Linked DNA regions of Sus scrofa. The protein of the gene in region 4 interacts with the protein of the main gene of each other region in a pairwise test. Links are inferred from orthologs where the notes say so. Each region holds a gene or a part of one and is shown on either strand. Other genes may lie near its edges.

Region 1 (4,147 bases), on a different chromosome or scaffold from region 4:
AAAAATGTTAACTCTTTAATGTTGGCAGTTAATTTTAAAATTTTAAATATTTAATACTTAAATATTTAAGGAGTTCCCATCGTGGCTCAGTGGAAACAAATCTGACTAGGATCCATGAGGACATGAGGACACAAGTTTGATCCCTGGCCTCACTCTGTGGGGAGGGGATCCAGCATTGCCATGAGTGAGCTGTGATGTAGGTCACAGACACAGCTTGGATCTGGCATTGCTGTGGCTGTAGCATAGGCCAGAGACTACAGCTCTGATTTGACACCTAGACCCATAGCCTGGGAACCTCCATATGCCATGGGTGCGGCCCTAAAAAGGCAAAAATTTTTTTTTTAATATTTAAAATGGCAAACAAACCAAACACATCTGTGAGCCAGATTCAGCAGGCAGGCTATCAATTGTGAGTACTCACAAAGAGAGAAGGTCAAGGGTCAAAGTTCATACACTGTCTTGGTGATACATAGGGAGATAAGAGACTGTGACAGGATTCAGTAACTAAAATACTATACTTAAAGCTTTTTCCAGCATTCTGAGCTCTATGACTGTCTCTACCCTTTAAGCCTATATATGGATTTGAATTTATACAGGAAGTTTAATCTAATCCTCAAATGGTGAAATCACCAGAATTTGAGTGCTTACTGTGTGCTGAGTACACAGAAGTCAAAGAATTTCAAATCTAACTGGAGAAAAAACATGCCCTCCTGAAAACTTGAGACAAATTATGAAATAACCTGAGAGACTGCTTTCTTCAGATTATGTTAGAATATCAGAGTCACCTTAAGTCCTGGTCCCCTCACTCCCACCCCCCGCATCACTTCCATTTAGCAAACTTTGTAGTAATGCCTCTGTGTGTGTGTGTGTGTGTGTGTGTGTGTGTGTGTGTGTGTGTGTGTGTAACTTGAATCTCTAATCAGAAATCTGATTTCCAGGGCAGTGGTTAAAAAGTGGCAGCCTCCATCCCTCCCTCAGCTTTGGAGGGGACTTAGCTGGGTTGGGGGTACTGGGGCGCGGGACAGTAGAATGGGAGTGGTTGGCGAAAACTGCTCCCCGTTAGGTTTCTCCGTTGGAATCCCTGTCTTTGTTTCTGTCATTACTCTTTAAGTGTTTGTGTAGGAGCAGACAGGCACCGAAATAGAAATTGTCAAAGAGATGATGACAATGAAGATAAAATACAAGGGAGGACTTTTTTTTTCAGTCCCACCTAGCCCCCTCCATCCAGAGTGCCAGCGCGCCTCCTCCCGCCGTCTTCAAAGAGCCGTCGATGGGGCAGGAAGCGGGTGGCTCGGGCTGTGGGTGCTCCTAGGAGAGCGGCGATTTCCTCCCGGGCGGGCCAGTTATCTCTAGAGTCGCCGAGCAGCTCTGCGAAGAGCGCGTTCTCTCCCCAACCCCGTACTCCTCAACCCACCCACCTACTTCCTCCGGCTCCATACACACATGAGCACAGAGCTGCCAAAAATTTCCACCCTCCGCCCCCCTCCCTAGCTAACTTCCTTCCAGCATTTCCTGAGCTGGATGATCCTAGGATTTGTAAGACAGGAAAAAAAGGAAGGCGTGAGGGCGGGCGAGAGAGACAGGATGCTTGTTTTTCGTTCTACCAAAGCCGTCTGAAGGCAAGACAGCGCGCGCCGGGCAGAGGACCCACGCAGTCCCCGGGCCGTCTCCGCGCCCGCCGCCGGCTTCCCCGCGCCCTCGGCCACTCCCGGGCTTCGAGAAGACGGACCGGAGAGCTCGCCCTCCCTCCAAAGAGGAGGAAGACAACCGAAGACACCGCGGGAACCTGTGAAAGTCCCTGGGACTCCAAGTGAGGAAGTGACACTCCCAGCGAGCCGGCCCGCCGCTGCCAGCTCCGCACGGCCTGCGGCACCGCGGCCCTGGAGGAGCGCGCGGTGGATTTCAGGCTCCGCGCCCGCGCCGGGCTCAGCGCCCCGCGGGCTCCATGCGCTCTGTCCCGGGCCCAAACTCTTCCCGACGCCCATGCGGCCCCACAGCGCCGCGCCGCAGCCACTGATCTAACCCCCACCCCGGAGACCACCGTCGGCGCGGTGCCAAGCAGAGGGGAGGGGGAGACGGAGGGCAACCTCTTTGGGACTAACTCATGAAGAACAAGGGTGCCAAGCAGAAGCTGAAACGAAAGGGAGCCGCCAGCGCCTTTGGCTGTGACCTCACGGAGTATCTGGAAAGCTCAGGACAGGATGGTAAAGTGCCTTCGCCTACCCCCCTCCCCCCTTCTTTTTGTTTGAGAGAAAGAGGGACTCTCCGAGGGTGTGTTACATTCAATTCACAAGTTAATGTATTCCAGGCTTGTGCGCTCCTTCTACTTTTTTTTCTTTTTGAAGAATATACACAATTCTTGAGGTGCATAGCGCTGCCACCCCGACGTGTAGAGGTTGTGTCAGTCCTTCCGTTTGTGTCACACAAGCCGTTAATGGGCGGTGCTGCTGCAAGTTTAAGCGGCTACCCCTGGGGGCCTGGGGTGGGGGCTGGAGAGATCCCGATCCCCAACTTTGGATGTGGGAGAGGAGGGGTGAGGACTGGACCTGTGGGATGGTGTTCACTGGGCTTCTCTGGGTACATAATTATGACCGCCTTAGGTGTCCCTCCCGGCTTCTCCAGTTTCATCAGCTCACATCTTTTTTTATTAATGTGCTGGAAGGCAGGGGGTGCGGTGGATCCTGGCTGGGGGAGTGGTTGCACAAACATTTTCTGAATTTCTGAACTGATGCCAAATATATAGTACCTCCCTCCCTCCCCTTCCCAACCCCTCAGACCCTTTACCTCCTCTTGGCTTTCAGATTAGCGTTTGGTGTGTCAGACAAGAAGAGTGTTGTAAAAAGGTCAGAGGGCCTTGCCTTGAAAATAGTTTAGGAGAGCGTTTCTTAAGGAGAGAGTCTCTGCTTTCAAGGTCAGATTGGAAAAAAAGCCGATCCTCCAGAGTAGAGACAATTTAAACATTTGTTAGGGGGAGGGCGAAAGAAAACAATCCAGAACACAATAACAGCATTTGAGGTTAGAAGTTTTTAATCATAGGAACGTTGGAGAAATTGAGCATTAAATGACTCCTTTTGTAAGGTTGACTGGCCCTGTACTTATCCGTGACAAAAAGGCCTTGTCTTCAGAAACTTCAGTGAGAGAGAAAAAAGTCTACTATATGGGCCTTGTGTTTATACATACATAGATACAAGAAAGGGGGGAAACTGAAGGGCTAACTATGCAGAATAATTCTGCCTCCAGGAAAATAATCTCAAAAGCTATTTGATTAGCTCATATCAAATGTGCATCTCAAAAACAGAGCAATGCTTTTGTTTCTATTTCATTTTTTTCAAAGACTCAGCACCACCTAGTAATTTGCAGTGGTGTGATATTCCTGCGGAATTCTTGAGTTCAGAGTCTGCTGTGTCATTAGGACAAATAGCTTGGTATTTTACAGCTTGGGGGACCGCACATTTCAAAACTGCCTCTTTTGCAACTGGGACACAGCAGAGTCAATTCATTTAATCCTCTCCAACAATCTGGAGAGGTAGATTTGAAATAACATCGCATGGGGTTGAGTTTTTTTGAGTGTGAGAGAACGCCAAGTATGCAGCTTAACCATTACCCTCAGAAGTTCGCAATGAAATGTTTTCCTCCACCTGTTTTTGCAAAGGGGGGCCTTCAGGTTCACATCCAGGTTCACTTAATGAATGCTTGTGGATACCACCTCCTACCATGCAGGTGTTCTTCTGGGCCCTCACTCCAAAGTTTAGAGTTGCGTGGAGGTGCTTATCAATCCTGCCCCTTCTTACAATGTCACAGGTCATAGGATGAGCCAGGAATCCCAGGGTTCTGTAAAGACACTTCAAAGGCAGCCTTAGACAATCCCTCTTTCACCTGCTTTGTATTTTGGGCTTTCATATATGTTTCATTTGGAAAAAAAGAAAAAGAAAAGGGACTACTGCTGAAAGGGGAAAAAAATGGAAACCAGTACCCAGTGCTACCTACCCTGGGAAGGGAGGAGGCAGTGCAAAGAGGTAAACTGACCTGCCTTATATCTTCAGTCATGAAGGAGGCAGAGGGCTCTGGCCCACTAGGCTCCTCTCCCTTCCCCGGCTTCCTTGTCTAGGCCAACATTCTCCTCTAATGCTTTTTTTTCTCCCCCTAA
Region 2 (4,249 bases), on a different chromosome or scaffold from region 4:
AACTTTCACCATACCAGAAGAGCAAGAATGCTGCAGTTTACTAGAAGCTCCAACCCAAGTCTCAGTGGATCTCGTCGGCTCTGACTGAGTTAGGTGACCATCTCTGAAAGCCTCCACCACCAAAAGGAAGAATTATGCTGTGTGGCTTAAATGGGAGGAATAAATTGCAGGAGGCAACCAACAAATATGTTCCATAACCACACAAATTAGCCCTAAATAATAATAAATAAATAGCTGCATTGGCTCTCTCGGCTAGGTTCACATACTCAAAGCACTTTAGAAAGAGGTATGCTAGCCATGCCCTCTGAAACTGAAACACAGTCTCCATGCGGTCAGCTGTTTGTTTCCTCCCTCCTCCACTAGCACTCCAAGTCTCCTTTTGGCTTCATTCATTGCTGCTGCACAAAGGCCTCTTTTTGTTGTGAAGAAGGTGGCGGTCAGCTGTTGCTACAGTAAGATGCAATCTTCCCTCCCTTTTTTGTGTTCATATAACAATTTCCAGCAAGGGGTCAATAATGCCCAACTTGGATCAGTCCTATCCCTTGGCCCAGTCGGTGCTGCCAAAGGCAGAGTATTCTAACTGGCTTGGTTAACGTGCCGATCGATCCCAGTGGTGAGGACACTGTGCTGTTGCCAGTGAGGCAATAAGAAAATTTTAAAGCTGTCAAAACAATGGCAAGCACAGACCAACTTGGTATTTTATTTTTATTTTTATTTTTCCTTTTTCAGATAAAAGTTTTCATGGGTCCTGGAGATTCATGTATCTCCAGACTTAAACAGAAGCTTTTATTTTATTTATTTATTTATTTTTGTCTTTTTGCTATTTCTTGGGCCGCTCCTGCTGGCATATGGAGATTCCCAGGCTAGGGGTCCAATCAGAGCTGTAGCCACCGGCCTACACCAGAGCCACAGGAACCGGAATCCCAGCCGCGTCTGCAGCTCAGCAGCTCACGGCAACGTCGGATCGTTAACCCACTGAGCAAGGGCAGGGACCGAACCCGCAACCTTATGGTTCCTAGTCGGATTTGTTAACCACTGCGCCACGACGGGAACTCCCAACTTGGTATTTTAATTGTGGGCTCTTCTTGAAGGTCAGACAAGGTGGCTGCACTTTATTGAGAAGGAAATGTAAAGTACGAGGGAGACCTACTGTTAGCCTTGAGTAAAGAGCAAGGCAAGATGGATTAGAGAGGTCAATCTAAACATGGAATGAAGTTCAGAGGAGCATCGCAGGTGGGAATGTGAGGATCGGGAAGCGCCATCTATTCCGGTTTTATCATTCCTCTAATAAACCGCCACACTTTATGAAACAGTAACAGTTAAAGGCCCCTGGTTTCCAGCCATGCATTAGCACAATTCTTCCAGCTTTTGTGAAGGCGTTCTGGAGGAAGTACGGTTATTTTGGTCTTCTTCTAGATTCAATGCTTTTGGTTGGCAAGCTAACCGTGCGATGGGCAGTTCTAATTAAGGAGCTCCTCGGGAAACGCCGAGCCAGAGAAGGCGGTGGGAACTGGGACCCCGTTGCACCGCAAGACCCGAGGGTTTGCCTTCTGGACACTAATTTCAGGGATGCCGAGGTCAGTCCCGGCACGGAGTCTACACAAGTTTCTCCGCGGAGGCCACGGCGCTCCCTGTGCCGCAACCCGCAGCCAAAGTCCCCACGGAAGCCGAAGCCTCTGCGCCCAATCGGGGCGGGGGGAGGCCCCACCCAAGAGCGGGCCGAGCCGGCCTCCGGGCCGGTTTAACTGGTTACGGCTGAAACCCGCCGGCGGGAAGGTCTGAGCTTCCGCAGCTAAGAAACACGTTGCCCTCCTCCAGTCCGCGGCCAGCACCGCCCCAGCGATCCTCGCAGACCTCGCTTGGGCAAGGTGCGCGTCGCCCGCCACCACCAGGAACTGCGCAGGCGCCAGCGGACTCGAGCCCGGCGCGTCCTCTCGCGCGCTCCCAGCTCTCCCCAGCGGGCGCCGGGACCGGGCAGGCGTGGTGCTTCCTGGGTGTTGTAGTGCGCTTCCTGGCGGAGGACTGCCTACAGCCTCGGCTATGGGTTTCCGTGGACTACCGCTCCCAGCGTGCTCCACGCTGGGGGCATAGGGCGCCGGCCCTCGACGGCTCCGGCCTTCAGCGCCGAGCTGGGGACCCGGGAAGCCGGCTGCGGCGGGGAAGGAGTGCGCGTGCGCGCTGGCCCGGCTCGTCCGGTTCTGTCCCAATCATTGTAAACAGGCGGAGGCTGGGGCGGGGTGGGAATGGGGTGCCAGAGGCCGGCCCAGGGCTTAGCGAAGGAGGTGGTTGCGGCGGCGGCGGCGGCGGCGTGAGAGTCGGGAAGCGGCGGCTGCGGCAGGGCAGGCGCTCACCCGGCGCGGGCGCAGGTCAGTGGCGAACGGTGGGTGGGCGGGGGTCGCGGCGTATGTCAGCCTGGAGCGGGGCCAGGCTCCTGGCCGGCGCGGCGGGGGCGGGGGCGTGGCTGCCCTAGCGGGCTGGACCCGGCGGGTTCCTCCGCGTTTCGCCCCCACTGCCGGTCTCTCCCGCTCTTCAGCTGGCCTATCGGGACTCCGCGGTGTGTCCGGGCTCTTGGGTCTAGGGGAGGAGGGTGGGTTTGGGGCTCTGCCTCAGGCAGCCACTGAGCGCGGGGATGGAGCTTGGGGACTCGGCCCTTTACGTAACCGCAGCGGAACTGTGACCGGCCTCTAGTGCTGCCAGGTGGGCGGGGAGGGGCTCGCGGTCTTCCACCGCCAGCGCGGGAGCGGCAGAGCTCCGGGGCTTCCGCGGGACCGATCCGAGGGGAAAATTCTTTTCACAACCTTGTCTATTAGGTTTGTGCTTAAAGGCTTTATTGAGGTCAGCATACCCCCCACCCCCCACGCTTGGTCGTTGTGAGAGTGAAACAGGTTTTACAAAATTCCCGCACCTCTGCTTTACCTGAAGTCATTATGCTGCTTCAGGTTCTGGGATTCATGACCCAGAGCCTTCCTCTTGAGCAAGCAACATGTCTCGGGCCTGGTGGAGTTCTGGAAGGTGATTAAAATACTAATTCGAGGGATTTTGAACATTCTTTTGAAAGAAGCACAGTCATTTGGACACTGAGTTAACACACCGACTCGCCCCATTAGCAGAGCTTTCGCCGATTTTTTTTTTATTGAGCGGAGCGTGCATGTCCCAGGGTTGCGGCCCTTGGGTGACATTCTGTCCCACTGGGCAGTTATTCACGGAATATTCAAGAAGTCATAAGGGACAGGCCCACTTGTGGTTTGGTGGTCCTGGAGGCAGCAGTACTTCTAAAAGAATAAGTGGACCTCTGAATGAGAAAGGTGACTTCACTTTTTGCCTTTCCAGTTTTCTAGATGATTAATTAATTCCTTTCTGAGTATTTTCCTGAGAATGCGTAATTGCTGTAAACTGAATTGGTGAGTAGTCGAGGTAGGAAGTTAGTAGAAGGGTTCCCACTTTTCATAGTAGCCCGTTTGACAGTAACTGTTGAGAAGTAATTCTTTAAACAAAGTATCTTGAAGCAAGGTGACATAATTTATGATCTTTTCTTCAAAATAGCATTTCTCATTTTACATCCTCCAGGGACCACTTCTCTTTTAATTTAGAAAAATATAAGTGGTATTAGAAAGTGCATATTAACTTTGATTTATACAGTTGTTTGCTTGGCAAGGAAAGATTGGGCCCAGAATGTCACCCCAAAGTATGTTCTTTCTTGAAAGGAAATCTGGGATAGAAACTTTTGTTAATATATGGGAAATTGCAGATCACTTAGTGTAGAGGAATTTTTGTGTAGCAGGTACTGTGAAGATGGCTTAGAGATAGATAAGGTACTGTCCCTGCTTTCTGTGTGATAAGACTTTATCTCTTATTTGAACTGTCTGCAAGTCCAATGTGTTTTTAAGATCATTTTCACTGGAGAAAGGATGGGCCACAGTGGGTGTACAAAGGAGGTAGTGGTCATTTTATTTTTAAGGGAGGAGAAGGAAAGATTGAGAAAGGGGGCACTAGGAAGAAAAAGTGTATATTGGAGGGGATGAAAACGGTAGGTGTACAGGCACAGAAAGCATGGGCATTTAGGTAGGAGAAACTGCAGGAGTCTCAACTTCCGTGAATCGTAGGGTCTGCAGGTATAGATAGCAAGGGTACAGGGTGGTGGCAAGATCTGAAACTGGGAACTTAGGCAGAGACCAAATTAGGAGTAGTCTGTAGATAAGCAAAGTAATTTATCTTGAAGCAAACAGGAGTTGTTGAGACAGGATGGAGA
Region 3 (4,228 bases), on a different chromosome or scaffold from region 4:
TTATTTCTATTAATGTTATCTGTGTATGTATCATTCCTGTTAAGATTGTAAGCAACCTGAAAAACGAATGTCTTCTTGATCTTTCTCCTCCCACGGTAGGTATACAAGAAATATTAAGTACACACTGAATTTTAAGTATATATATATATAAATGTATACATAAAAATAATAGACATGGTCCATAAGGTTACATTGGAAGTTTCCTTCACTTTCTTCTGGAGAAAAATCACTGCCATAACAATATCTTCTTTAAAAATCACCATATTTACTTATGAAAATGACATTAGCGATTTTTTTGACCCCTATCGCTTATCAGTATACCCTTATGTATATAGGAATTGCTATAATAACTTCCTTGGCTTAGAATATAATATTGTCTTTCAATGTTTCAATTTTACATTATTGTATATGTCTACTGATGGTAAACAAAACCACCTTACCATTGAAAAGAGCAGTGTAGGAAGAAATAGCTTGCCTAGTGGCTGTTCCAAAACCCACACATCTGAGACGACACAACTTTTTTTTTTTTTTTTTGAGAGAAAGAGAAGAGCAGTCACAGTATAATTATACTTCTCTGTACCCAGTTCCTCCACACCTCCACCACCTGCACAAAATCTATCAACCCAAATGTCTGTTCAGGGCCCAGACTTTCAGGTTCCCCAGTTGAAAATAATAGATAGGTTTCCAGTTCAATAATTAATTTACCAAAGATTTACTGAATACCTACTATGTAGAAAGCACTGTGGAGGACCCTGAAATTAAAACGACGTAATTTTCACCTTCTAGAATGCATGATTAAATGCACAATACAAACACATAAACAACTCTGTTATAAAGCAGATTATGTAAGGTCTAAAAAGCTTCCAACAAGGTACAAACAGAATGGTATGAGGAGAGAGGGTGATTTAATCCGAGTATCTGAGAAGCTTCAAATGAGAGATGGATTTCTATTTGGACTCTCTTTGAAATCAAGCAAAGATTTTCGGGTTAATTATTTTACTTGTGGCCTGTAATTAAGTAGAAAACCTTTGCAATGTTCAAAGGAAAGACACAAGGTATCCAATAATCTGAACTGATATTTATTTAAAATTCTACTCCCAGAGAAATTTATATAAATAATAAATGGGCCACCAAACTTTTACAGAAATATGTTCAGCATACCTACAGCACATTAAAAAGGAAAAAACTGAACAACAGAAAACAAAATTCAGTGTCCTAGATTTATACCTCCTCTTGCAAAAATGACCTCTTCCGCCAAAGGTCTGAATCAGAGCTTGGAGCATTTGCTCTTCGAGTGAGCTCCATAGACACCATTTCTAGATTTAGATATTTCCTTGAAGATTTTGAGTTGCCATGACCTAACTCTGGACGTGTTGGGCACCAGACTGACAGATAAAAGGTCCACACTCATCTCAAGCTTAAAATAACTTGCAAGGAAGGGGTGGGGAAAGTCTGAGTTGACAGGTGCCAAAGGAGCAAATTTTAAAAAGAAGAAAGAAACTATGACAGGAATGGAAGCAAACTGGGGAACAGGCAGAAGCATGGCATTCCAAACCGCTACAATTTTTAAAAATGTTTCGTCTTTTAATCACATTACCGTAGCCACCAGACGTTTTTGCAATTACTGAACTTAACAATGAAGCAACATATTATGAAAAAGTAGGATTAATTATATGTAGCTTTGTAAAACATCTCATCCCAACTCTTAAATATCTCATCCCAAACTCTTAAGATTAATCACAAACACGAAGGAACTAAAATCGCATTATATAGATTCCGACAAGGGAAGCTGGGAAAGCATTACTAGTATGTAAGTTCGGTACCATGTTACAGACAGGCAGGGTGCAGTTTCGTGCTACAGGAGACAGGCGAAGGAGCCAAGAAAATGCGTTGAACACCGGAATAGTGCACACTGTAGTCACCCAACACGAATTCAACAGCTAGCGGCTCTATCCATCCTGCCTCACGTTCCTCGTGGCCTCTGACAAGTCATCCTTTCAACCTATGAGACTGTCCGCTCTCCCCCACCGAAAATAATTTCCGTGCAGGTTGTAAAATCACCCCCACAAACTACTTGCTCCCACTTCCCCGCCTCGGGATGAGCAGTCCCCAAGATGGGGAAAGGTCGCCCAGACAGGGAAGTTACGTGAAGTGGTCTTTCTAGCGGTCGGACCCGAGTCTCCAGCCCAGCAGCCGCGAGGGGAAGGAAGCCGGCGGCCTCTGAAGAAACCGGGATGGGGCAGCGGATGCGAGCCCGCGGGGCAGGCTCCGTGGTGCCCGGGCACCGGCTCGGGCAGGAAGAATGGAGGAGGGGAGGCGAGGCAGCGAGGTGCCCGAGAGCCGGGCGGCGGTCCGGCCCCGCGGCCCGACCCCACCCCGCACTCTGGACCCTCCCAGCCCTGGGACCCGGCGTGCGTTCCGCGTGCGCCGACTCTCCCCGGAGAAACAGCCACTGCCTCACCCCGGTGGACTGGAGAAATCCGGCAACTTTGCGCGAGAAATGCTTCCCACCCTGCACCACGCCGAGAAAGAGAAATATGTCAGGCGATGACGGGGGAGGAAGGATGACTTACCCATGTTCCTCCCAGAGGGTGAGGAGCCGGCAGGTCGAGGCGAAGGTCTCCGGTGCGGGCGGCGCGGCGCTGTGTCCTCCCTCTACCTCTGTCTCTCCCGCAACCAGGGAGGGACCCGCGGGGGGCGGCCGCCGGGGAGGAGCAGCTGGTGCTGCCGCTGCTGCTGCCGCTGCTGCTGCTGCTGCAGGCAGCGCGGCCGCGGCGGGGACGAGCGGCGGGGGGCGGGGCGGGGTAGGGCGGGGCGGGCGCAGCCTGCGGCGGGCGCAGCTCGGAGCGGGCAGGCGGCGGAGGCGCCGAGCCGGCCGGAGGAGCGCCCGCCCCGACGCGCACTCCGGGAGCGCCCCGCCCTCCCCGCCGAGCATGCTCAGTGCCTCCCTTTTTTTTCCCCCCGGGGCAAGTCAATCTGAGCGTGCGGGTGGGCGTGTGTTTGCGGGCCGGCTGCAGCCGCCGCGGAGGAGCTTGATGGCTGCCGCCGGAGGGGCGGAGGGTAGGCCCTGGGCAGGCTGGGTACCGGGACGCTGTGCCCGAACTATTACCTTCCAGGTCGCTACCCCGACCTGGCCAACCCACACCCGGAAAACGGGCCAGTCTTCATTACCCGACAGGCCGGGTGCACAGGCGGGAATTTCCCGAAGGAGGAGACCCTGGGCCGCCTCAGACCCGGGAGGGTGGTCGGGAAGCAAGGCAGTCGTCCTGAAACGGGGCCGGCATGGACATGCTGGCGATGAGGCCAGCGCCTCTGGAGACAGATATCTGAGGACGCTTGTTTTCAGAGCAGCCGTGTGGGCCCGCTGGGCACAGAGAAGGGAGGTGGCCGCGGGAAGGGCGCTTAACATTAGCGGGCACATCAGTGGGACAGTTAAGTCTGTCCTGGCTGCGGCCAGTTTAAAAGAGGTTCCCGGCAGCGAGAGGAGTGACCGCCCCGGGATTTCTTCGGAGCGTATCGTTCTCCTTCCTAGGGGAGCGCGGCCTTCCTTTCCCCGGAGGACACCCGAAAAGCCATGTCACAAGGGTGCCCTGGCCGTCGGGCGCCACCCTCCTCGGATGTGCCCATCTTTGCCCCGCTCCCTTTAAACGCGGCGGGAACAGGTTGCCAAGGCAGGAAACCAAAAGTCCGCCCAGTTGGCTGCGGCCCCATCGGGTCGAACGCCGGAGTTTCCTTGGACCACGGGGCCAGCGCCTGCTCCCCGCACCTCCCCAGCGGCGGGGACAACCTGAGCTGGGCGCTCCCTTTTGAGGGCACCCTCCCAACTGGGCATGCGCGCGAGACAGAGGCTGGTCTTGCGTCCTCCGCCCTGCGGGAGGAGGCTGGGGGAAACCTTCCCGTTCCCTGCACTCTGGTCGCGCCCCGACTCTCGGTGGTTGGGGTGAGGAGTCAGGTCGGTCTCCCCAGGCGGCAGCAACTACGGTCTAGGCGGGGAAAGGGCGCAGGCAGTAGCACAGCCTGTAGGAGGGAGATGCTGAATAGCTAAATGGAAATTTCTCTTTTTCAACTTTTACTCTTTCAGCCCAATGTTGAGAAAAGGTGCTCCCTGCCCTTCATCAGCGGCCCTCTTACAGTCAGATCCGTTTCCATTTATATGACTGATACTACAAAGCACACAAGTCAAAATAGGCCTTGTAATTTGTTGAGCAGGGCAGATTTTCTAAAACAA
Region 4 (3,500 bases):
ATACTTCTGATTTTCCTATCAAACATTTTCACCGCATAATGACAGCGAGGATTGCATTCATGTTGACGAAGCAATTTACACCATTTTTTTTTTTTTCTGTCTCTTCAGAGCTGTGGGTAAAACTTGCCTCCTGATCAGTTACACGACCAATGCCTTTCCCGGAGAATATATCCCCACGGTGTAAGTATCCCGAGGTACACCGGGAATTGTCTGTCACAGGGTTTTTTTGGATTCCATTGACTTGTTCTGCTATGTCTTTCTTAATCCTTATGGGAACAGATAGAATTAATTGTCTTTTCATTCACCGAGTCTAATTATAAGGTGTTTGGGCCTTTAGAAGATACTTAATCTAATAGAAAGTTTCTGCACAGTGATGAAACAGCTTTCCTAATTGATTTCTAGATATTCAGGAAATGAAAGTTAAACCAACCGTGAAACCCAGAGACTGGATAATGTGAGCGTTTCAGATAAATTTGGCTTTCTGGGCTCTCTGTGTGAAGGGTCAAGGAACCGGAACAAAATACCATTATGTTTTAATTGGCCTTTTCTGGCAAGCAACCCAATGGTTGCTTGTCACTGTTGAGTTACTGGGCTTCGGTATTGAAACCAGGGTGTGTGTGTGCGCACGTGTGCGCGTGTGTGCAGGGCGGGGGTGTGTGGGAGGACGGAGCTGGTGCTGAGCTGCTGCTTCGCTATTGGCAGCAGAATTGGGTGGAATGGAAAAGTGCTTTTCTGATGATGGGGTTGCCAGGGAGCCCCATGTAGCTGAGCCTCCTGAAAAAAAAAGTCACAGTACTGTTTATTGAATAATCTAGCCTCTTCCCACCAAACCAGACGTGTATAGCACTTTTCCCTAGGAAAGCTGGCTTGGTCATTAACTTAAAAATCACATTGGAACCTACTCAGACCATGGCTTTGCTGCCACCAAGATCCTAAGGTTTAGCCTTAAGTATGGACAAGTTAATTCTGGAATTTTATTTTCAAGGCTTATGTTTTGTGTTCTGCTCAGTACTTGCCCTGGTTTGTTTGTGTATTTATTAACAACTTTTTTAGGTTTTGATATTTTTTCCTGTTGTTGATTTACAACGTTCTGTCATTTTTCTGCTGAACAGCAGAGTGACCCAGTCATACATATGTATGTATGTACCTTCTTTTTCTCACCTTATCCTCCATCCTGTTCCATTACAAGTGACTAGATACAGTTCCCTGTGCTGTACAGCAGGTTGCCCTGGTTTAAATGGTGATGAGAGATGGCTTTTTAATCAATGACTCCACGGTACTCGTAATTTTTTAGAAAATGTTTTCATGCCCTGCTACTCGTAATTTTTTTTTTTTTTTTTTTTTTTTTTTTTTTTTTGCCATTTCTTTGGGCCGCTCCTGTGGCGTATGGAGGCTCCCAGGCTAGGGGTCCAATCGGAGCCATAGCCACCAGTCTACGCCAGAGCCACAGCAACGCGGGATCTGAGCTGCGTCTGCAACCTACACCACAGCTCACGGCAACGCCGGATCATCAACCCACTGAGCAAGGGCAGGGACCGAACCTGTAACCCCATGGTTCCCAGTCGGACTCGCCAACCACTGCACCACGACGGGAACTCTCTCGTAATTTTTAATGTCAGCTTTGTTTCTGCCCTGTGGGCCGTGGGCGTCCGAGCCTCTTCTCACAGTGAACTAGTTTGAGTGCAGCAACCTCAGGTTAATTTATAGCCTGGTGAAACCTGGTTGCACACCCTTTGAAAACGTGACACTGTAGCGTCTCGGATCGGGTGTGCTTTGTGCTCCCCCTCCCCTGACCAAGGCTCCCCTGACAGCAGCCTCCCGCCAGTGGATTTCTACAGGCACTGCCCGTGCAGCCCTGGTGGCTGCCCCTACGGAGAGTGAGTCACATGAACACAGAAACTCTACAAGTGGGGTGTGAAAGAGGAACTAATTTTACGCTTTCTTCATTCCGGGGGAGAAAAACATTGATGTTCTCTTCACTCGAGGCAGGCAGGTTTATTTATTTATTTACTTTGCTTTTCAGGACCGCGCCTGAGGGTCTGGAAGTTCCCAGGCTAGGGGATGAATCCGAGCTGCTGCTGCCGGGTCCTTACCCCACGGAGCGAGGCCAGGGATCGAACCCACATCCTCGTGGATATGAGTCGGGTTCTTAACCCCCCGAGCCACAGCGGGAACTCCCCCTGCAGGTTTTTATTGCTGGCAGCGCCTGTTGGGTCAGCTGGGGAGCTTGTCCTTGTCGCCCAGACCTCCGCGCGCTTGTTTCCCTTGTTCGGCTCCCCTTTGCCTCCGCCTCTCAGCGCTCGGGAGGCCTCTCCTCGGGGCCGGCGTCTGCGGGCCTCCGTCTGCTCCCGCTGCCCCTCGCTGCCTGTGCAGCCCAGGCCTGGGCTCTTGCTGCAGGGCTAACGACTCATTGTTTGTGCTTTCTTCTGCAGCTTTGACAACTATTCTGCCAATGTTATGGTGGATGGAAAACCGGTGAATCTGGGCTTATGGGATACGGCTGGACAAGAAGATTACGACCGGTTACGTCCCCTGTCCTACCCACAAACAGTAAGGAGATGACTGCCTTTTAATGCCTCCTTGAAAGTAGACAGTTCCTGGAGTTCCAGTTGCGGTGCAGTGGAAACGAATCCCGAGGAATGACGAGGTTGTGGGTTCGATCCCTGGCCTTGCTCAGTGGGTTAAGGATCCGGCGTTGCTGTGGTGTAGGCCGGTGGCTACAGCTCCCATTAGACCCCTAGCCTGGGAACCTCCACATGCCGCAGATGTGGCCCTAAAAAGCCAAAAAAAAAAAGAAAAAAAAAAAGTAGACAGTTCCTGATTGACTAATTCGTATCACCTTTGAGTTTGCTGCTGTTTCAGTCTTTTGGGTATGTCCATCCAGTAAATAACAGTGTATTCAGTTGGTTCCATAGTGAATCTCTCCCTAGATGCCAGTCGGAGTTTTGTGTAATTTTTGATCGTTACCAGTTACTGACTATGGCGCTATGCGTTTCACCTTCTTTGATGCAGTTTTGGGACAGCCACGTGAAATAGGTACCGGCTTGTTTTTGCAAACCAGTTTTAAAAGCAGTTAGTTTCCAGAGTGACACTTGTTTATGGTTTTTTGGGTTTTTTTTTGCTTTTTAGGGCCATATCTGAGGCATATGGAGATTCCCAGGCTGGGGGGCAAATTGGCTGGCCTATGCCACACCCGCAGCCGAAGCAACGCCATACCTGAGCCGCATCTGCGACCTACGCCACAGCTCATGGTAACGCTGGATCCTTAAACCCACTGAGCGAGGCCAGGGATCGAACCCACGTCCTTATGGATGCTAGTCAGGTTCGCTAACCGCTGAGCCACAATGGGAACTCCCCTTCAAGTTTTAGTTTTTCCAAATTAAATAATTCTTAGGGCTTTTCTGTCCTTTAGTAAATCATTTTCTGTTTCTGAAACGTTTGGAAGTTTTGTGTACCCGTCTTGGGTTGCTGGGCTGCGAGTCAAGGTGTGGTCGGTGGTG

Evidence for each region. The genes of interacting proteins can lie anywhere in the genome.
Region 1: the proteins of RAC1 (region 4) and ARHGAP31 interact in a two-hybrid assay, tested with the Homo sapiens proteins (2 studies listed by BioGRID and IntAct, with this or other methods). The link is inferred for Sus scrofa from reciprocal best matches to the Homo sapiens genes RAC1 and ARHGAP31.
Region 2: the proteins of RAC1 (region 4) and RALBP1 interact in a two-hybrid assay, tested with the Homo sapiens proteins (2 studies listed by BioGRID, with this or other methods). The link is inferred for Sus scrofa from reciprocal best matches to the Homo sapiens genes RAC1 and RALBP1.
Region 3: the proteins of RAC1 (region 4) and RAP1GDS1 interact in binary tests that used the Homo sapiens proteins (3 or more experiments, as listed by UniProt). The link is inferred for Sus scrofa from reciprocal best matches to the Homo sapiens genes RAC1 and RAP1GDS1.

Annotation. Positions count from the first base shown.
Region 1 is NC_010455.5:140,945,704-140,949,850, reverse strand, and holds the start of ARHGAP31 (rho GTPase-activating protein 31), read left to right. Parts: upstream 1-1,347; 5' UTR 1,348-2,104; coding exon 2,105-2,204; intron 2,205-4,147. UniProt on the Homo sapiens protein: Functions as a GTPase-activating protein (GAP) for RAC1 and CDC42. Required for cell spreading, polarized lamellipodia formation and cell migration.
Region 2 is NC_010448.4:98,596,146-98,600,394, reverse strand, and holds the start of RALBP1 (ralA-binding protein 1), read left to right. Parts: upstream 1-1,449; 5' UTR 1,450-2,366; intron 2,367-2,465; exon of another isoform or gene 2,466-2,554; intron 2,555-4,249. UniProt on the Homo sapiens protein: Multifunctional protein that functions as a downstream effector of RALA and RALB. As a GTPase-activating protein/GAP can inactivate CDC42 and RAC1 by stimulating their GTPase activity.
Region 3 is NC_010450.4:122,004,610-122,008,837, forward strand, and holds the start of RAP1GDS1 (rap1 GTPase-GDP dissociation stimulator 1), read right to left. Parts: upstream 2,801-4,228; 5' UTR 2,578-2,800; coding exon 2,574-2,577; intron 1-2,573. UniProt on the Homo sapiens protein: Acts as a GEF (guanine nucleotide exchange factor) for the Rho family of small GTP-binding proteins (G proteins) that stimulates the dissociation of GDP to enable subsequent binding of GTP.
Region 4 is NC_010445.4:4,790,011-4,793,510, reverse strand, and holds part of RAC1 (ras-related C3 botulinum toxin substrate 3), read left to right. Parts: intron 1-108; coding exon 109-180; intron 181-2,432; coding exon 2,433-2,550; intron 2,551-3,500. UniProt on the Homo sapiens protein: Plasma membrane-associated small GTPase which cycles between active GTP-bound and inactive GDP-bound states.